Linked DNA regions of Arabidopsis thaliana. The protein of the gene in region 2 interacts with the protein of the main gene of each other region in a pairwise test. Each region holds a gene or a part of one and is shown on either strand. Other genes may lie near its edges.

What was found.
Region 1: the proteins of TGA7 (region 2) and FRU interact in binary tests that used the Arabidopsis thaliana proteins (3 or more experiments, as listed by UniProt).
Region 3: the proteins of TGA7 (region 2) and IMB1 interact in binary tests that used the Arabidopsis thaliana proteins (3 or more experiments, as listed by UniProt).
Region 4: the proteins of TGA7 (region 2) and TCP4 interact in binary tests that used the Arabidopsis thaliana proteins (3 or more experiments, as listed by UniProt).

The regions. Positions count from the first base shown.
Region 1 is NC_003071.7:12,002,451-12,006,992, reverse strand, and holds FRU (FER-like regulator of iron uptake), read right to left. Parts: upstream 2,336-4,542; 5' UTR 2,281-2,335; coding exon 1,804-2,280; intron 1,723-1,803; coding exon 1,522-1,722; intron 1,447-1,521; coding exon 1,270-1,446; intron 1,187-1,269; coding exon 1,085-1,186; 3' UTR 998-1,084; coding exon of another isoform or gene 990-997; 3' UTR 717-989; downstream 1-716. Other genes in the region: ATCHX7 (Cation/hydrogen exchanger family protein), read left to right, coding at 176-622. UniProt on the Arabidopsis thaliana protein: Transcription factor. Essential protein involved in iron uptake responses. Regulates FRO2 at the level of mRNA accumulation and IRT1 at the level of protein accumulation. Confers enhanced iron mobilization responses at low iron supply.
Region 2 is NC_003070.9:29,295,891-29,301,624, forward strand, and holds TGA7 (bZIP transcription factor family protein), read left to right. Parts: upstream 1-2,352; 5' UTR 2,353-2,750; intron 2,751-2,900; 5' UTR 2,901-2,950; intron 2,951-3,053; 5' UTR 3,054-3,068; coding exon 3,069-3,257; intron 3,258-3,347; coding exon 3,348-3,437; intron 3,438-3,543; coding exon 3,544-3,603; intron 3,604-3,681; coding exon 3,682-3,759; intron 3,760-3,865; coding exon 3,866-4,171; intron 4,172-4,250; coding exon 4,251-4,481; intron 4,482-4,564; coding exon 4,565-4,717; 3' UTR 4,718-5,055; downstream 5,056-5,734. Other genes in the region: AT1G77910 (uncharacterized protein), read left to right, coding at 248-517; AT1G77930 (Chaperone DnaJ-domain superfamily protein), read left to right, coding at 5,294-5,537.
Region 3 is NC_003071.7:14,722,176-14,727,881, reverse strand, and holds IMB1 (Transcription factor GTE6), read left to right. Parts: upstream 1-2,197; 5' UTR 2,198-2,319; coding exon 2,320-2,337; intron 2,338-2,698; coding exon 2,699-2,827; intron 2,828-2,898; coding exon 2,899-3,111; intron 3,112-3,285; coding exon 3,286-3,363; intron 3,364-3,480; coding exon 3,481-3,696; intron 3,697-3,771; coding exon 3,772-3,870; intron 3,871-3,970; coding exon 3,971-4,029; intron 4,030-4,115; coding exon 4,116-4,266; intron 4,267-4,351; coding exon 4,352-4,549; 3' UTR 4,550-4,869; downstream 4,870-5,706. Other genes in the region: AT2G34910 (root hair specific protein), read right to left, coding at 116-982. UniProt on the Arabidopsis thaliana protein: Transcription activator that plays a role in the promotion of seed germination by both negatively and positively regulating the abscisic acid (ABA) and phytochrome A (phyA) transduction pathways, respectively.
Region 4 is NC_003074.8:5,059,386-5,065,176, forward strand, and holds TCP4 (TCP family transcription factor 4), read left to right. Parts: upstream 1-2,295; 5' UTR 2,296-2,922; coding exon 2,923-4,185; 3' UTR 4,186-4,213; intron 4,214-4,295; 3' UTR 4,296-4,767; downstream 4,768-5,791. UniProt on the Arabidopsis thaliana protein: Transcription factor playing a pivotal role in the control of morphogenesis of shoot organs by negatively regulating the expression of boundary-specific genes such as CUC genes, probably through the induction of miRNA (e.g. miR164).

The DNA.
Region 1 (4,542 bases), on a different chromosome or scaffold from region 2:
TGTAATTAAGAGATCTCATGGTTAATTTTTGGGGTCGTCTGGCTTCCAACTCAAAACAAACCGACGATTAGTATATTTGGCCCATGTTTTTTCTATACTAGTGTTGGTACCTACACATTTCTTCCGATGTGTGATCTTAACAAGTTCTAAACTGGTCTCGTGGTTTGTATTTCAGGTGTGTGCAATAGTTGTGGGAGGGAAAGACGATAAAGAAGCCTTAGCATTCACCAACCGTATGAGGAGAAACAAGCAGACAAGCGTAACCATCTTACACCTCATACCTCAACTTACTACCGAGGAAAGCGAAGACTCGGTGCAGAAGTTGGATTACGATGACATAAAAGAGATAATGAAGACTGAGGATTCAAATGAAAATGATTCATGGATATGTATAGAAAAAAGCGTCAAAGAAGGGGCTGAGACTTCAGTGATACTTAGATCAATAGCGTATGATTATGATTTGTTTATAGTTGGAAGAAGTAGCGGAATGAATAGCGCAGTTACAAAAGGATTAAATGAATGGACAGAGTTCGAGGAACTTGGAGCCCTCGGAGATGTTATAGCGTCAAAGGAGTTTCCTTCAAGGGCATCTGTCTTGGTCTTGCAACAGCAACAATATTAGAATCTTTTTGTTTTACCATGTTATGAATATCCAAAGCACAAATTAGGTTCCTAGAGTTGAGTCGGCGATCCATATAGGTCGTCTGTACTGCTTTCTCGGGGTTAAAATTCTTTATTCTTTTACCAATCAAACAGAGAACAATACATAGAATCAAGATGTGAATGGTCTTGCAACAACAAAGCAATAATACAGCCAATGAACCAAAACGTGATATATCAAAGCAAAAGAAACTTAAGACTTGAGACTATAAACAAAACATAAATATTACTTCATTTAACCATACAATTTGTCGCTAAATTACTATATAACATGGTGTTTATTCAATAGAGAATCAACAATCTCGGTTACATCATCACTAGAATAGAAATTAGAGCCCTGGAAGTTATGAAACATGTAAGAAAGGTACACAATCAATATAGTGCAGAACCGGATTTGACTCACGTTAGAGCAAGCGTTATAGAATCAAGTAAATGACTTGATGAATTCAAAACCTTGATTTAAAAGTGATCCAGTGATCCACAGCTTCAGGTTAGGCAAGTTTAAGCTCTGTTCGAAGCATGTCCCCTGTTTCCACCACACAAGAAAACTCGGTAAGTAAACGGTATACTCGGAAACAAAACAAAGTAAAAGGGCACAAGTTGATTTACATCTAAGGTATATGTTAAGAGGTATGTGTCCGGAGAAGGAGAGCTTAGGTTAGAGTTCTGCACTTGGAAACTTGTAAGAGACTCCAAAGACTTGTAAAGAGATGGAGCAACACCTTCTCCTTTGTTACACACCAATCTCACATAAAACCCTTTCTCCTCCACTTGTATAACATCCATCTAACACAACAAAACATACAAACTTTAAACACTTTGATGTTTCAAGAAGATTGATTGGTTTTTTTAGGTTATTACCTGAATGATTTTTTTGGAAGCAGGAGGATTGATACCGCGAAAAGGTTGAGTCTTTTGAGCATCAGGAGCATGTTCTTGGTACCCTCCAGTAGAGTTTAAAGAAGCTTCAAGACCCGCGATATCGGATTTGAGTTTCTTCGCTTGTGACTGAAGTTCTTGAACATACAACACTGCATCTCCAACAATGGATGCTTTATCCATCTAAATGCCAACACACACATACTTCATCAATATTTACAGTTTCATTAGTCATTACCAAATCTTGAAAATGTTGTGACTTACCTTAGTAATATTGGGAACAAGAGATCTCAATGCATAAAGCTTATCCTTCATACGCCCTCTCCTTCTTCTCTCAGAGATCAAAGTCCTAGACCGATCAGTCTTCGTCTTACGGGTCCCATCATTATTCGTAGTAGTGGCTGAAGAATCATCACCGTCGTTGTAATCTTCTTCATCTTCTTCACCACCGGCTCTAACACTATCACCGTCGAAGCTACGGAATGATTCAGCAACGTTGGAGTCTAAGTCAGGCAATTCGTCGAAGAGGTCATCGACAGGTGTTGGGATGAACTGGTTCTCGTCTATGAAACAGGGGCTGTTTTGTAATGGACCAAGATCGAAATCAAGAACTGGGTTTTCGTCAATGGTTTGATGATCTCCTCTTATGAGGTTTATGAACTGATCGAAGTTTGGATCGACCAAGAAATTGTGAAGTTCGAGATCGTTTATGTTTGACAGAGCGTTGACTCTTCCTTCCATTTGTGTGTTTTTGTCAATGAAGAAAAGTTGTTGACAACGAAAGAGAGACAAAATGAGTTTATATAATAGAGTGAGTATGAAATAAACTGTATTAATTAACATAATAAGTTAAGAAATCAATTAAAACAAATTTAAAGAAATGTACTCTTGATAGTTGGTTGATATTAGTTTATTCAGTTACGTCTTGTAATGTCATGCATGACCTGTATATTATATGTATAAATTATGTTACTCGAATGATTAATTTGTCGTGTTGCATGACAATTATATTTCCACATTGTTCTTCTTTATATTTTATCATTTGAATTTTTTTTTGTGGTGGAGGGAATGCAGATTAGAAACAAGAGTATATGTTGATCAAAAAAAAAAAAAAATATATATAGAAATAACACACATTTTTGGTCATGTCTTTATTGGGAGAAGTTTTTTAAAATTATACTACTTTCCAAAAATATCATTTTTATCCATTTTCAAAAATACCACAAATATTTAGAGTTTTTTAAAGTTATAAAATATACCAAAAATATTACTATATAATTTAGTTTATGAATACATTATTATGAGTTTTGGTTATTAAGACCTTATATAGGCATATAGCATGTATATTAAGCTCATAATATATCCTGTTACTATATAATTTAGTTTATGAATATATATGAGTTTTGGTTATATAAATAAATAAATCGATCAGACCGTATTAAAAAGGTGTTCATAAGTAAAAGTTTACTACGATATTAGACGTACAAATGTTAGTGTACTGTTTATATTTTTGAATTTAGATCCACATATATTCTTGTTTATTAAAATGTTAGGAATTAATTTGCAATCGGCTTATTACAACTGTAGATGTCAACTGGTTTAGTTGTCACAAGCTAGAATTTTAACAAAAGTTTTTCTCAACATTTTTATGTTAGTGTATTTAAAAAGTACTCCAATATGATAAATATGTTTTGTAGAAAAACGGCCAAAATTAATTTCAAATATAAACTTAAACCAGCATAATTTTCAAATAACAAACCAACTCTGGAATATAATAGCATTTCAATTATTTTCTTTTATTTTTGATAAATGCATTTCCATTTTTCAAATCATTTAAGGATAAACCGCAATTAAATTATGAAGAAGCCTGTTCAATGCACGGTTTTCGTTCTTGTCTCAACAAACAAACAAAGGATAGCAAAGAAAGACAGTATAAAATATTAAAGTCTTGGCCGGTTAGGACAAAAATCAACTCTTTATAATATTTCAAGTTGGAATATTTTTTCAGGTATATAACTGTAAAAAAAAAAAAAAAAAAAAAGTCAACCAATTATAGATTCCATCTAGGTGTTGAATTTATTAGAGAAACTGAACTTTTGAGCAACATTGGATTTTTGGGATACTCCACAACTTTCAAAAACATCAACCAATTTCCAAATAAATATTTGAATAATGCTATTATGTCAATTTAGTAGATGTTTGGTTAGATCGTGGCTGTAAATTTCGGTCTGTAATGTTTCTGATATAATCTTATTTTTGCTGTAAAATTTTTTTTCACATATAGCCTCTAGAGTTTAAAACAAATAAAAATTGTTGTAAAAACAATTCATGAATATGGCATACTTTGGTTCAAATATATTTGATACATGTGAAGCTAGCATAATTTTTACTGAAATTCTTCCTATTTCGTTTTTTTTTTGCCACATGATTATCTTTCAGTACTCCAACAAATATGACAACTCTTTTTCTTTTCTTCACTAATTGACATTTGGAACAAATACAATTTTGCTGTACCTATCACATCTTTAGAAACATAACTCTGAATAAGTCACAAACTTATGAAGCAAAATATTTTGACAAACTTTTTTCTTTTTTCCTTTTCTTTTTCCTCTAACCTTTATGCATGTCAACTAGCAGATAACTTTTAATTTGTTCACCCCAACAAAAATGGGGAAAATATGAAAACTCCTTTTCTTCTCTATACAGACATGGAACAAATTCAATTTTTATGTGACTTATCAGCACATCTTTAGAAACACAACAGCGGATAAGTCATGACTCATGAACATCAATAAAGTATTGTGTCAGATTTTCAGATAACCGTAACTATCGGTTACAATTTTGAAAACCGAAATGGCATGGATTCACTAATAAAACCAAACCTACCAATGACCACACCAATCAGTAAACAATGACCACACCAATCAGTAACAGTGGTCCATCCATCTTCTTCTCATCTCACATCACATCAAAACATTAATACCTTTTGTTACCAAACTTTTT
Region 2 (5,734 bases):
AACAAATAAAATCAGCTCCTTTTTTCATACCACACAATGGGAACAAAAGCAATGATAAAAGAAGCCCATCACCTTCCTTTGCTTTTAAATTATTCATAATTTATGAAAGAAACAAAAAAAATTATTATTTTTATTTTTGCTTCTCTTCCGGTAAGTCAAAGGAGATAATATTAAGAGTTTAGATATTAATCTCTTAAATTCTGTGTTCATTTTAAGATTTTGTAGCAAAAGTTTATTATTACTAATCATGTGGTTGTACTGCATGTTTAACCAACATGAAAGAATATGTATTCATTTTTTCGGAATGCGAAATAAGAGAATCAATCTCAGTTCAGTTCAAGTTCGAATCTTTGAACGACATGCGGTTTATATAAAAGGAACTATAGTATATAAATATATATTTATATATATGCCTCCTTTAATAGATTTTCTTATATTCCTTCTTTGTTTTGTAATTTATGGAGAATATTTACTATGTATTCTTCATGAAGCAATTTTACAAATATTCGAATTTTAATTTTTCCTTTTTTGAACGTCTGATGATCGATCATTCGCGTGCACAAGAATCTCATCAGGGCATGATAGATTCGAAATTTTGATTTGCTCAGTTACGATATATCTTTGATTATTCTTCCTACGGCGGTTTAAACCTAAAAACAAGTTTTCATGTTTTATTCACCTAGATTGGTTTCAAGTGTATTTTCTAACCACTATTTTTTTCAAGAAAACGGGAAACAAACAGAAACTATTTCTGGTGCAAAATATAGTCTGAAAATAGTAGAATGCAATCCATATCAATCTTGAAAGATATATTTTTTTAAAGTGTACTTGAGAAGAATGTAAGAAATAAGAGATTAAAAAAGGTACGGAGAAGATAACGAGAAAAGCAATAAAATGCATAACTTTTGTAGTCATAACGAAAAAAAGGAGAAAGAAGATAATGAAAATAGTGGAAGATCGGTGTCTTCGTGATGAATTAAAGTAGAATTGTGTGTACGTAACTTTTGTAATCATACTTTCTTTTTCTTCATCAACTATAAGACGTAACAATGATATCTATAATGCATGCATATAGTTTTAAAATTATCTAGGTTCTTGACCAAGGCTTAGTTAGCTCGGTAAGTTTCTAAGAACTTCGATTTACCAATAAATCAAGCCAAACTATATATGATCTTTCGCGATGCCAATTGATATTCTGACAGGATCATACAATATTGTTGCTTTTCTTGTATTTATTTATTTGCGTATCACCGCACCGATTCATATTTATTATAGTATATAGATTGGAAAAACAATATAGAGGGACTCTTTATTAAAGTAAAACCAAGAGAGGAAATAAAACTGAATAAGAAAATAAACAAACATGCTTGTCTTTGTCGAACACACAGATTTTTATTACACAAGTGGTTCCGAACTAATTAAGATTCCTAATTTTAAAATAATAAAGAGATTTAAAAATGTTATCTTTTGTGTTTGGTAGGCCATTAAAGCTCCAATTATTTGTCACTAAGTCAGGGAAGGAGACTAAGCATAAAGACGCCACTGCATAAACCTTATGGTCCCCTCAAAATAAACCTAAAGTTGTAAAAGAAAGAAAATAAAAACATAACGTTGATAAAATAAAATTTGAAGAAAGAAAATCCTACATCTTTGTACCACCTATATGAACCTAACTTATAGGGAAAAAGACATTGATTCTTTTGCAGACCCATCAGCGTGCATGTCCAAAAAGATGTGAAAATGGTTTCGAAAATTATGGATTGGTCATGATCAGTTAGACGATAATTCGGGCTATGATTATGAATATATATTTATATTTAAAAGGATGAATCTTTTCAACTTTAGATATTCTAATTATAGTATAAATCATGATCATTTTATCATTTACGACATGTTTAAATCGCCGTAACATACATAGAAACATATGAAACGATTTTACATATATGACAATTCAATTTATATATATACTACAAAACGTACGGTTCTATATACACTACATTTATGATAAACTTCGAACTTGTCTATAGTTTAAGAAAATCTGTTGCTGCTGTCAAAAGCACTAAATCTTTGATCAACCAATAAATCAAAAGTTTCCCACGATACCAAAATTTAAAGAAACGGGGGAAAAGTATATTTGTTCTGTTAAAACTATTTATTATTTGAACCCTAAAACATAAGACTCTTTCCAATTCTGGAATGCAAATAAATTATACACCACCGGAATAATCGACTGAACTTGGTACGTGTCGACATCGGAAGGTATTTCAGCTCTTGGTAGATGACATCACGTCGTGCGTACCTCAGAAATTAAAGCGCACGATAAGGTCACCTTCTCGGCTTTGCCAAAGATGCATCTCTCTCTTGCGTTTTGTTTGTCGTTAAACGTTTCGTTCCTTTAAATTGATTGTGATTATTTCTTAATAAACTTGATTACTATTATTAATTCTTTAACTTAAATATTACTCTAATGGTGATGCCGTGATGGTCACAAATAAATGAAATAGAAAAAGACCAAAACAAAAAAAAAAAATCCTTTTTTCCTCTCTTTTACATGATGGGAACTCTTGACCTTTAAGTTTTTTTTTTTTGTGACAGGAAGTGTTCAAAGGAACGAAATACACTTCTTCTTCCATTTGATGTCTGTGGTCCGAATGAAAAATATCTCTGTATTAACCAGAAACGTGTTTCATAAGCATCTTTAACTCTTCAGCTCTCAAATTCTTCATGAATATCTCTGCTTATCGATCAAGGTTTGTTAAATTTTCCCTCCCTCTCTGTTTTTCACTTGAAACGTTTGGATCTTGGAGAATTTGGAGTTTCTCGTGTGTTTTTTTTAGTTCCAAACTTTATATTAGTTTTAAAAATGATTAAGAGTTTATTCTGTTTATGGTTTGTATCAGTGAGAGCAAATGCAATTTTTAAGAGCCAGCTATTGGATCTATAACTGAAGGTGAGGCAACACAAAACTTTCTTTTTTCTTTCTGCTTTGATCTATTCTTGTGCATGTTTTTGAAAGATTCTAAATTACCAACTATGATTGGTTTGATATGTAGAGGATATATATAGAGATGATGAGTTCTTCTTCTCCAACACAACTTGCATCTTTAAGAGACATGGGAATCTATGAGCCATTTCAACAAATTGTCGGTTGGGGAAATGTTTTCAAATCTGATATCAATGATCATAGTCCCAATACTGCTACTTCCTCTATTATTCAGGTTGATCCTAGAATTGATGATCACAACAACAACATCAAGGTTAACTAGTTTTCTTCTTTCAAGATTCATTGATTTTTGAAAGTTGTTGTTACTTGTTTTTTTACTAATGGGTTTTTAAATCACGTGCAGATAAATTATGATTCTTCTCATAACCAGATCGAAGCAGAACAACCTTCTAGTAATGATAATCAAGATGATGATGGCAGGATTCATGATAAGGTTTAGATCAAAACAAAGCTAATTATGTTTTCTTTTTTATACATGCATAATAGAAAATGGTGGTTTTTGTGATATTGATTGATATTCTTTTGTCATATGCCAATAGATGAAACGGCGTTTAGCGCAGAACCGAGAAGCGGCTCGCAAAAGTCGTTTGAGAAAGAAGGTAGAAGCAAGTCCCTTTATTGAATCTCATATAGTTTAGTTAGTTGCTACTAAGTCCTCTTTTTTTTTGTATCTTTAGGCTTATGTTCAGCAGTTAGAGGAAAGCCGGTTAAAGTTATCGCAGTTAGAGCAAGAACTCGAAAAGGTTAAGCAGCAGGTGAGCTAGGTCAAAAGATATGTTTAAAATGTTCTGTTTTGAGTCTCTATCAAGAAAATCAGTTTTGGTTTCGTAATTGACTCAGTACTAAATGTTTTCTTTCAAGGGCCATTTAGGACCATCTGGGAGTATTAACACAGGGATTGCATCATTTGAGATGGAATATTCACACTGGCTACAAGAACAAAGCAGAAGAGTTAGCGAACTACGAACAGCGCTTCAATCTCATATAAGCGACATAGAACTCAAGATGCTAGTAGAGAGTTGCTTGAACCATTACGCTAATCTTTTCCAAATGAAATCCGATGCAGCAAAAGCCGATGTTTTCTACTTGATATCGGGAATGTGGCGAACTTCAACCGAAAGATTCTTCCAATGGATTGGAGGGTTTCGTCCATCCGAACTTTTAAACGTAAAAATACCCAAAATGTTACAATCTCTAACAAAAACATTTTCAAAATGTAATATTTTCTCCTTCCCTTTTCTTGTAGGTTGTGATGCCTTATCTTCAACCATTAACGGATCAACAAATCTTGGAAGTGAGAAACCTCCAACAATCATCACAACAAGCAGAGGATGCTCTGTCTCAAGGGATTGATAAACTTCAACAGAGTTTAGCTGAAAGCATTGTGATTGATGCGGTTATCGAGTCCACGCATTATCCCACTCACATGGCTGCAGCTATAGAGAATCTTCAAGCATTAGAAGGATTTGTGAATCAAGTAAGTAGTAAACATTAACTCAAAACAAATTAAGTAAAGTTTGTGTCATTCTATTTCAAACATCTCTATCCTGATTATAACAGGCAGATCATCTGAGGCAACAAACTTTGCAACAAATGGCGAAGATCTTAACGACAAGACAATCGGCTCGAGGTTTACTAGCTTTAGGAGAGTATCTTCATAGACTTCGTGCTCTTAGTTCTCTTTGGGCAGCTCGTCCACAAGAACCAACTTAAAAGAGGAACTTATTAAAACTTTAAAAACAAGAAACAGCAGAATCAAAAGTCTTGAAGAAGCATACTCATCACAAAGCTTGGAAGGATGTTTTAAAAAAGATCTTTGTTAATTAAGTAGAGTGAGATTCTCTTGATTAGAACTTTATGGTTTTTGCTTTATGAAGTATCTCTCCAGAGAAGATTGTAAATTTGGGTTGAAACTTTGTAATATATTTAGATACAACAAATAAGTTTGAAATCTGAGCAATTTGATAATATGTGTACTGAATGTATATTTAATGTATTATTAAGGGACTAATGTGAAACTCAATAAATCAAAGGGTACTATTGTAATTTTCCCATCGTTGCGCTTCAGTCGTCCACAAAAAAACTTCCGTTGGAATTTTCTGAGGAAAATGAGAAAATTCAATTGAAGAAAAGAGTAAAGAAGAAGTCTCTTGTTCGGTTGGATTTTTCAGGAATTTCATTTTCGTGAGCTTACTTGTTCGTTCATATAAAGAGGTGGAATTTGATTTATATGAATTTTGATTTCTGGGTTTACGAAATTGATCGGTTTCTGGGTTGGAACTTGAAGTTATGAGCAATCTTCGAGCTATCTGTAGACCATACTCTGTGTTCTCTTCGATTGTGTGTTGTAGTAGACATCAAAGTCGATCACTTTTTAGGGTTTCGATTAAAAACGTCGCCTTTAGAAACCAGAGTTCGAATTCGTCTTGGTTTAGGTCTAAAAATTCGAATCTTTGGTTTCGTTTGAATCAGAGGAAGACTCTAGTTAGAGCATCGAATTGGAGCCAAGAGAAATCTCCTTACGATACTCTCGGTAAGCTTCTTCTACCAATTCGGGAATTTTATGTATCTTACAGTTTCCTTTGATGTGGTTGTTGATTCACAAGTTTGTGATTCTATTCGATTCATTGGAGTGGTTCTGTTGTTTTGGTTACTGTTTGTGACTTGTGTCAGAAGAATTTGACAAGAAGTCTTTGTGTTGTGTTTCGTGTTTCTGATATGGTTCTATGT
Region 3 (5,706 bases), on a different chromosome or scaffold from region 2:
AGAGGAGACTCAAATCTAAACAGAAGATAAACACACACACTCCATTGATATATACAGACCGATCATTTATTATTGCAAAGTCTTAGTGCTCTGTTTTTTTTATTTTGTGTGTGTTTCACGCGTTCTGTGCTGCTAAGAACGTATTGAAGTCATCTCTAGCTTTCAACAGTCTTGGGGTAATACATGTTCGCGGCGAAGCTGGGCACGAATCCGAGGTTGTGGTCGAGAATCTGACACGGCGTTGCGGGGATGTCTCAGCCAAATCCCTTAATTGTCTTCCAGACAGAGAACTGCTTTTCTTTAGAACGCTTCTCAAAGCTAGACTTCCTGTTTCCTTGTCAAAGAAGAAACCAGAACTCACTGGTTCTTGCACATCTCCACCGCCACATTTGATCATCTCCACCGGTAGATCGATATACAATCTGCCGTTTTCGCGGGTTAGAGCTGTCGTTGAAGCCCATGATCCACATTCGAATTTCTCTAGCGAGGCACTTAGTGAGACAGTGGAATTTGAGAATGATGACGCTTTGATCATTTTCTTCTTTATAGAGTCCTCGCTTTTTGGTGATCGCACAGGTCTTTTTCCAAACCCGGGGAGGGATAAACAGAACGCATTGCACTTGAAATTTTCTTCTTCTTGGTAGAAGTTTTTCTCGGGATACCGAGATTTTCGTAGAGAAAGCATGGATTCTTGGTGGCTAAGCTTCTTCCGTGGTTTCATCATCGGCTCAGGAAGAACAGGAAGAGGCACAGCGTTGTCTCTTGGCGGAGACATTGCCAGAGGTAAGACCATTCTGAAGCTCTCTTCGTTCAGCGATGGGCGAGAGACAGTCATCTGGTTCTGCAGAGTCGCCTTCTGCACCAAGAAATTAATATTAGGGTTAGGGTTTTCTCCGGGATAAACGCTGAAACCCTGCCACTCGTCGTTGCTCCATTTTTGGGTTAAACCATCTTCAAACACAACCAATGCTGGAGGAGACATAACAAAGTCAGAAATCTTAAGACGATGTACTAAAGATGATGAAGGAAAAGGTTTGATTTTTAGGGTTTAGGGTTAGAATTTTCAGAATATATAGAGATGGGGGAAGAAGTGGAAAGCACGTCTATGTCGGCGTGGAGAAGTAGTGACTAACATGTTGGGATGTTAATACAGAGGCGGTCTGACGAAGAAGGTACATGATAACATTTGAATATACTAAATCCGTGTCTCCACATTTTGACCATTAGCTTATTATCAGTGTTAGGTACGTGTGTGATAATCAAATGAATTGAGAATCTTGACAAAATATATATAAAATGATTTGCGAATTAATAAGAAAAGATATTTCGTTGCTCGAACATTGCATGTTTCTTGGATGTTGAATCTATACTACATTTGAACGATATGATATGTCTTCATAATTTTCTATGACGGTCAATCAAAAAGATGTTTTAAAAGTATTTTAAAATGGAGTGTTATTTATTGTTAGTAACTTAGTATACATTAATGGCATTTGCCACGCCAAGAAACCAAAAAATGCAAAAGAATTGTGGGATAGAGTTTTTAGTATTTAAATGAATTTATAGACCCATTGTAGCTCTTCTAGATAATAGTATTATTTTTGATGTTGTTTTTGTGTTCCCAAGTTCAAAATTTGATGAGAAAAGATGATTTATGCCTCATAGTTTTCGAACCAAGGGGAGAGACATCTGCAACTTTCTTGTTATGTTTTTTTTAATAGATTTATAGGCAATTTAACTACAACTACCGTAAGACATTTTTTATTTTAATTCAATTGACGATGTAGGAAAATATTTTCAAACTTTTGATGTTACTGAAATATTTCATGCCTTGTATCGTTTATTAAGGAAGTGTTAGAATGATCTTTTAGTTAATTTATACTTTTGCACACAAAAAAGAAGTTAATTTATACCAAAATAAATAAATTAAACTCATTATATGTGTGATATTTCAGATGATTTCAAGTATGATTTTTTTTCTTCTTTTCAGAACCAAACTAAAAGACTATAATAAAAGTCAATTTTACATTATCAAGAATAAAAATTTACTATATTACTATTTTTAGAAATGGAAGATGCAACCCAATATTTTAACTGGTTGTTGAAAATTAAACCGCGTAATTGGAATGTTGGTTGAATAATGGGCCGAACAGAGAAGCCCAAATTGATAAAAAGGTTAAAGTTTTTTGAAAAGCCTATTCGTTCTAAACCCTAAACCGGAGCAAAGCGTTAGCTGCTGTCTCTTCCGTCTTCGTCCTCCGACCTCTGTCTTTCTTCTGATCCTTCGAAAAAGCTCTCGTGAGTCACTACTCTTCTCTAATGTCTGTACATGTCAAGGTACATAAGCTTATTATTACTTCCTGATTATAGTTGCAATCACTTTCCTTTGTTGATTCTATACCCTTACTTTTGACATTTTGGCTTACCTTTGCTTCCGTCTCGATAAGCTTAGTTGTTTTTGTTGACAATTCCCAATTTTTTAGATTAGGGTTATCATAAAGTGTCAAACTTTATTCAATTTAAACTCTTTTGAGTAACTAGAATGGTATAGAGACTCAATTCTCAGTTATAATTATTGTAGAAAGATGCAATTCAGAGGATTGTGTTCGATTTTGAAGTTTAGTTAACTCAAAAATGTTTGTTCTTTTAAGGTTTGTGCTGTCTTGAAGCTTTTTGATGAGTTTCTGTCATTGTTTAGGAAGAACCTGTGCTTGTTCCAAACTGCGATGTCGAGAATACAGAGCTTGCAGTTTTCAATGGAAATGGAGAAAGTGAGCTTGAGAATTTTGGGACTTGCGTAGATGAGATAACAGATAGAGTGAATCAGGTGACAATTGCTTTCACTTGGCACTGCTACTTTCTTGGTTTCAAATCTCTTACCCCTATATTGGAGTGCAGCTTGAGCAAAAAGTTGTGGAGGTCGAACACTTTTACTCTACAAAAGATGGAGCTGCTCAAACTAACACTTCTAAGAGTAACTCGGGCGGGAAGAAGATCGCTATTTCTCAACCAAACAACTCGAAGGGTAACTCGGCCGGGAAAGAAAAATCAAAGGGAAAACATGTTTCCAGCCCTGACCTTATGCGTCAATTTGCAACAATGTTTCGTCAGGCAAGCAAGAAAAATATACCCTCTTTGTCTCTATGATACTATTCTCAGATTATGACGAAAATCGAAAGCCTGGATCTTAGATTACTTTGTTTAATGCGTCCTTAGTTTACCAAATTTATATTGTTTACTCAGTGTTTGCTGCATCTAAAACTTTCATCTTCTTATACCTCTTAGATTGCTCAACATAAATGGGCATGGCCGTTCTTGGAGCCTGTTGATGTTAAAGGACTTGGACTACATGATTATTACAAGGTAAAGATTCAAACTGTTGCTAATATACTGTGGGTTAAATATTCCATGTTTACATGGAATTTTGCTGAAATGAGCGATTTTGAAAAATGTTCATAGCTTCTGTTCATTACTTAACAGGTTATAGAGAAGCCAATGGACTTGGGAACAATTAAAAAAAAAATGGAGAGTTCGGAGTATAGCAATGTCAGGGAGATATATGCCGATGTTAGACTAGTTTTCAAGAACGCGATGAGATACAATGAAGAAAAAGAAGATGTTTATGTGATGGCTGAATCTCTTCTGGAGAAATTTGAGGAGAAATGGCTCCTGATAATGCCTAAACTTGTGGAGGAGGTACACCAAATGTTCAGTTTCCAAGTATTCGTCTTTGTAATATCAGTGATGTGTTAACTGTGATGTTATGAACAGGAAAAGAAACAAGTAGACGAAGAAGCGGAGAAGCATGCCAATAAGCAGCTTACAATGGAGGCTGCACAAGCGGAAATGGCTAGGGATTTAAGCAACGAAGTAAGCAAATGCAAAACCAATTATCAGCTGTTGATCTATTTCATTTCAGGCCATTTATTATAGCTGTGGGTTGATGAGTTTGCTTTGTACGTATCTTTAGCTATATGAGATTGATCTGCAGCTGGAGAAACTCCGGGAATCAGTAGTTCAGAGATGCAGGTATAAATAACCTCTTCTGTTGATCATTTTTACCCTTAATGAAGGGTTCGTAACCGAGTTTTTGGTGTGGTTTTGGAAATAAACAGAAAACTGTCCACTCAAGAAAAGAAAGGACTTTCTGCAGCTCTAGGTCGTCTCTCACCTGAGGATCTGTCTAAGGCGTTAAAAATGGTTTCAGAGAGCAACCCGAGTTTCCCGGCTGGAGCACCAGAAGTCGAGCTTGACATTGATGTTCAGGTCAACACCAAAATCTTCCTTATTTCTTTGTGGTTTTGCATCAGATATTCAGGTTTTAACGGTTTCCTCTCTTGTTTGTGAACAGACTGACGTTACATTGTGGAGACTGAAGGTGTTTGTGCAAGAAGCATTGAAAGCAGCTAACAAAAGCTCTGGAGGAACAAACGCTCAAAACAATAACAATACTGGAACTGGAGAGATCAACAAGAACAATGCAAAAAGACGGAGAGAGATCTCTGATGCAATCAATAAAGCTTCAATTAAAAGAGCTAAGAAAGCTTGAATCTCTCTCTATCTCTTGATGTGTTTATTGATACAGAAGGAACAAGAGTTTGGTGAACACCAATCTAAATTAGAAACTTTCCAGTTCCATTGCGCATGTTGCTTCAAATGTTGAGCACAATGTAAAAAAGAATGAATGGGAAAAAAATCTGAGCTATAGAGGAGATATAAAGAAGACTGCTTGAGGGAGAAATTCTGACAAATCTTCTAATAAAATCTTCAGTTTGAGAGATCTTTGGTGTGTTGAACGTTTCTTCGATTTCATTACCTTAAACCTCGGCACTTATAATTTAAAATCAATTTTTAAAAATGATAATATGATGTTTTGACCCAAAAAAATAATTAAAAAAAATGATAATATGATGTAGGGATTTGAAAACTAATAACATACGTGAATCTACAAACATATAATTTTTTAGTACTAAAGAGTATGACCACATGCTTCATTCTACTGCAATATGAACACAAATATGTCCAAACACCAAACCAATGAGATAATATGGGAAATTTGCTAAACTTCAAACATGACATTTAACAACCTATTCACTTGTTTTTGAAGATTTCGATTTTTTTTTACAAATTTGATAGTATATGAAAGATATGTGCAATTGTAAGACGATACAAAAACAAGCAAGAGAAGATCAAGGAACGATTTATTCAAGAATGCCAATAGGCTATGAGTAATCTTAGCTATAAAGTGAAAACAAGGTTTACTTTTGGGCCTTTAGCTCAATGTCTATTTCACCATAGATTAATCTTTGCCCAAACATGGAATAACACCAACAAGTATGGGGTGCAAATAGTTGTACATTTAGATGAAAAAAGTATGTTAAACAAAATTGGCATCTATTTGTCACCATATGTTCAACACTTTCATCTTTCTCAACTCAGATTGTTTCCAATCATTCATCTACGCACAATCATTTGCACCCATAATCTACTTTCATGGTCGAATAACTTTTTTTGTAGTTCCCAATAGCTTACATCAAGAGTTTCCAAAGGGCGATTGAAAGTGTCGAAACGATGGGACATTACATAATAGTTTGTGCTATCGTAGTTTCTATCTTTAGCACAAACTTTCCGAGAACTTTCTATGGTTCTATCTTTAGGTTTTAAAAATTTAAGATGACAAAAATGATAACTAGATATTTAATATAA
Region 4 (5,791 bases), on a different chromosome or scaffold from region 2:
TGACAACAAATTATTACTACGATACTAGTAATTGAATTATTTCACTTTTAGAATATTGACCATCCTTGAAACTTTTTTTATATTCTTTTTCTTTTGCCATTCTTGAAACATGATTCCAACTTGTGCATGTTTTTATATTACTGACGAGTGAATGATGACAGACCAAAGAGAGTCATGAATATCCGCAAAGCATTGTGCCTCCATGTTACTATTTTATTTCCATGATAACTTATAAATAACCGATTACTTTGATTAATAAATCATATCTCATGACATTTAAAAAAGATAATATCGTATTTCTCTTCTTTTATAGTCGACTACTACGTCCTTCTTAATGCTCGAAGAGCAAACTAAATAAGATGATCCATACATACTACTTGCCTACTTGGCCATATTGTCAACTACTTTGATGATCACAATATCATTTTGATGAGGCGTATATATATACATTTAATTAATATTGATGTCAAAAACTAAAACTGACGTTAATAATCAATGACATTATTGTGCTTAATTATTGCATTTCATACAAATTTCCCCATAATTAAGAATTTAAATCTCTCGTAATCATTCTATTTTGTTGTGTTGCAAATCGTGACCGTAATTCCAAGTGGAAGCTACTTTTGATTTACATTTAATTAATATGCAACCGTGGGATGACATATATTCTCCTTTTCTCTACTAAACAACCTATTTCATGTTTAAATATTATATTTTGTTTTGTTTGATTAATTATTTTATTGTGTTCGTATTAGGTTTGTTAATTGACCCTTTTCTATCATGCTAATATGTCACTTTCTGATTTATTATTACATTAAAGTAGGTGGTCTAATAGTAATTATTTATATGAATAGTTTTAAACTATCAAATAATGCTGTATACTATATATATTTTTCCAACTAAAAAATTATATAGTTATGATCCTTTGCGTCAAGTTTTTATTATTGCTTTGAAGAAAAAACATATTCAACTACTTGAAAATTACGTTAGCTTACCGTACGTGTGTTCAAATTTAATATGCTACAAAATTGTGTGAACAATATAATAGGTTTGTTGTATTTATTCGTTTTTCACCAATCTGGAGATATTTTGTGGTACAAGTATTATAACCACAATATATTCCATACATGAATTAGTTGTGAGAGTTATAGTCAAATTGGTTGGGATTCAAGAAGCATTATACTATTATTATAGAGTCCCACCAATTATTTTTGAACTCGTAAAATTCTCAAGATCTTAGAAATGTCTCCGTTGAAGCTTAGATTGTCTTTTACTCACCTTTATTAGTTTATTTATACGTCGTATTCTTCAATTTCAAAATACCTTTCATATATGAATTTGGGTGATATGCACACGAACACGATACGGTGAAATCAATTAGTTCCACAAGTCAAAATAGCTAGAAAAGAAGTATTGGATTTTAGAACAAAGAATAACGAGAGTCTTATTGTGTTTGTTACTAGTTTATAGAATCTAAAACAGGATTGCAAAAAACAAAAACATCAAAAACGAAGATGAGAGATGAAAAAAGAAAATCTTAGATTATAAAGAGCCCTAATTGTATTGCTAACTAATATTATATTCTTCTTTTAACGAGTTCGATTTTTCGAATAAAATCTACTTTAGTTAACTATTGAGATTCTTACAACAAAAAGGTAAAAAGAAGTGGAGCATCAACAAGCTTTATGTATTTGCATTGAACTAGCATGGGTCAACCCTTAAAAGAAACCGAGAAGCACAAAAGGTTGAATTGAACCTTGACCCATCTAACACCATAGGTTTTTAGGGTATTTATTCATTTATTGAATTCGGAAACTCGAAAAATAAAGTAGCTAGTTCATTCCAGTGATTTCAACTTTTTAAGTATATAATCCCCATGATTATGTATGTATGTGGACATGTCCACGAAAAGAGTGCCCATTTTCATATCAAGGAAGTTAGTAACTCTGACCAAAAGTAGATGTTTTAACACATCTTAGTATTTTTATATCACACTAAATTAAAGTAGTCTGTTTAATGTATTCTCTTAGAAAATAACATAATGATTTGCATGCACATAACAAATCCTATACTATTATTTTGGTAAACAAATTTGGTTTTGGAAACATCTAACTCTAAAAACCATCATTATTATTATTATTATTTTTTTTCTAATATTTTGGCATCCTACAATTTAGTTTATGATTGTGTTGATTATTATTTGGTTGTATTTGCATCTACACATTAAGTTAAACATTGATTTTAAAAATTAACATGAACAAAATGAATACTTACTGTTAAAACCTTATAACAATCAGATTTTTTTTTTAAACAAAGAATGGAAAAAAATGAATAAATTTGGGAAACGAGGAAGCTTTGGTTACCCAAAAAAGAAAGAAAGAAAAAATAAAAGTATTGAATGTGGAGATGAGAGGAAAAAAACACTTACTGTCATCTTACCCAGTTGCGTCATCATCAAACCCACAACACTCTCTTCCTCTTCCCTCTTCCTTCTGCTTATTTTACTTTTTCTCTTTAACCATTTTCCCGAGAGAGAAAAATAAAAAGAAAAGCTTTCTCTGGGTTTTTCTTGATTGGTCAATTACACATCTCCCTTTCTCTCTTCTCTCTCTCACCTTCGCTTGCTTTGCTTGCTTCATCTCTTTGGTCTCCTTCTTGCGTTTTCTATTTACTACACAGACCAAACAATAGAGAGAGACTTTAAGCTATAGAAAAAAAGAGAGAGATTCTCTCAAATATGGGTTAGTCCACAATTTTCACTAAACCTCTTCTTCTTAGGATTGTTTTTAGGGTTAGGGTTTTGAGGTGAGGAGAGCAAGTATGCGGGAGTTTCATCCTTTTTGAGTTACTCTGGATTCCTCACCCTCTAACGACGACCACCGTCGCCGCCGCCGCCGCCGTCTCGACGAATATGCTCTACCAATGTCTGACGACCAATTCCATCACCCGCCGCCTCCTTCTTCAATGAGGCACCGTTCTACGTCGGATGCGGCGGACGGCGGCTGCGGCGAGATTGTTGAGGTGCAAGGTGGTCACATTGTTCGGTCTACCGGAAGAAAAGACCGCCACAGCAAAGTCTGCACGGCTAAAGGGCCACGTGACCGGCGCGTGAGACTCTCTGCTCACACGGCGATTCAGTTTTACGATGTTCAAGACAGGCTTGGTTTCGACCGACCTAGCAAAGCCGTTGATTGGCTTATCAAAAAGGCTAAGACTTCCATTGACGAGCTCGCTGAGCTTCCTCCCTGGAATCCCGCCGATGCAATTCGCCTAGCCGCTGCTAACGCTAAACCCAGAAGAACCACCGCCAAAACCCAAATCTCTCCGTCTCCGCCACCGCCGCAACAGCAACAACAACAACAACAGCTTCAGTTCGGTGTTGGCTTCAACGGAGGAGGAGCAGAGCATCCGAGTAACAACGAGTCGAGTTTTCTCCCGCCGTCAATGGATTCAGATTCGATAGCTGACACTATAAAGTCGTTTTTTCCGGTGATTGGCTCTTCAACGGAGGCTCCTTCGAATCATAACCTTATGCACAACTATCATCATCAGCATCCGCCGGATTTGCTTTCTCGAACTAATAGCCAAAACCAAGATCTCCGTCTCTCGCTGCAATCGTTCCCGGATGGTCCACCGTCGCTTCTGCACCACCAACATCACCACCACACCTCTGCTTCCGCCTCCGAGCCTACTCTGTTCTACGGACAGAGCAATCCGTTAGGGTTTGACACATCGAGTTGGGAGCAGCAGTCGTCGGAATTCGGAAGGATTCAGAGACTAGTGGCTTGGAACAGCGGCGGTGGCGGCGGAGCAACCGATACAGGAAACGGAGGAGGGTTTCTGTTCGCTCCTCCTACTCCTTCAACGACGTCGTTTCAGCCAGTTCTTGGCCAAAGCCAACAGCTTTATTCTCAGAGGGGTCCCCTTCAGTCCAGTTACAGTCCCATGATCCGTGCTTGGTTTGATCCTCACCATCATCACCAATCCATCTCCACCGACGATCTCAACCACCACCATCACCTTCCTCCACCGGTTCACCAATCAGCAATCCCCGGAATCGGATTCGCCTCAGGTGAATTCTCTTCGGGTTTTCGCATACCAGCACGGTTTCAGGGCCAAGAAGAGGAGCAGCACGACGGTCTCACTCACAAGCCGTCCTCTGCTTCCTCTATTTCTCGCCATTGACAATCGAAACTAATCCTCTAAGTTTCAGGTTTATCTCAAGTTCTGTCCTTTTACATCAAATTCACTACTTTTGTACTTCTTTGGTCATTGAACTTTAAACCATTTTGCAGGGCTTGTCTAGCTTCCATGCACATTGAAGCTTGACTTAGATTGTCCGGAACAGGGAAGGTGTTCTCGGTTTGTGTAGTCAATGGCCTGAATCTAGAAAACGCAAGGAAATGAAGAAAGAACAACAGTTTCAGGTTCTTCTTCTTCTTCTTCCAATATCTTAACCTTGCCGATTGTAATTTTTCATATTTTCACCAGTTAGACCAACGTTCTTCTGTAGCTCAATTATGGTTAGATTCCAAGGTTTCGTCTTGTTGTGTTATGTTTGTAACTTTGTATCATCATCATCCTATTGTTACTGCTCCCTGTTCTTATTGTGTAACTCCGTGGATGTTCTAATAAAGTCTGAAACTTTCTCTTTGGGTTTTACTTTTACTGCTCTGTTCAGGCTAGATCCTTGTTATTTAAACAACATGAGATTCCTATTTCTCACGTAATCTTTTGGTCCCAAGAGATATAAGTTGGTCATTTTCCATGAACAGTAAGTTTTGAATTGTTTCTTCTTCTGGAACATCAGGGGGATTTAGCCAGTTCCCTTAAATTACAAGTGAAACTTAGCTCACTAAGAGTAAAAATATGATTATTGTTTTCTATGTCTGATGTCAATAATTGTTCTCTCTCACCTACTTTAGTGGTAGGAGGAGATCCACCAAACTTGAATGTGATGTTGTCTTTGATGAGTAAAAGAATGGGGACATGAGATAGGTAAAGAGAGCCACCCATGTTGGTCTAAATGAAGGAAGTTGATCAAAACTAGTCTATCTTCTCTATCATCATCATCTTTTGATAATAATATTGGATTTTTGCAAAGTTTAGTCAAAAACACTTGGGGTCTAAATGCATGTGTATTATAAGAATATTTAACTTTACCTTTTAATAGAAAAGCAGCAACACCTTTTCATGTGATGTAATCAAAACACACCAGATGGATGAGTTGAGATATCATAAAGTACGTTTACATCAAAAGATAGAAAAGAAGAATCTTCAATTTAAAGGTCTAATGAGTCATGACACAAAGATCATATCCAATCTACCGTTTATTCTGTCTATTCGTTTGTCAACAGATAAGAAGATCATTAAGTTTGTTCTATAAGACAGTTGTACAGTACAAACTTGTATCAAGTAAAACGTTTCACATTAAACCTCAAAATATCTAATGGGTTGAAGAAGATGGAACCAAAATTGTAAAAGAGCTGTCGCTTTAAGGAATGGTCCCCTCTCTCACACTCTTGTAAGATCTCAATGCTTTTTTGCTAAAGATCTAGTTAAAAAAGTCATAGCCTTTTAGACTCTTGACAAGTCCATAAATAAATTGCATGAATACCAATTTGAAATGAGCAAAAACTGCAAAAAAGAAACACATTAAAAGCACAAAAGGTGATCATTTTTCTCTTTAAAGATTAATCAATTTAGATCATAGGATAAGTGTCAACCTCAGTAAACCATATGTAAGAACTTTCATGGATTCGAACAATGCAAGAATTTTCCGAGACTGTCA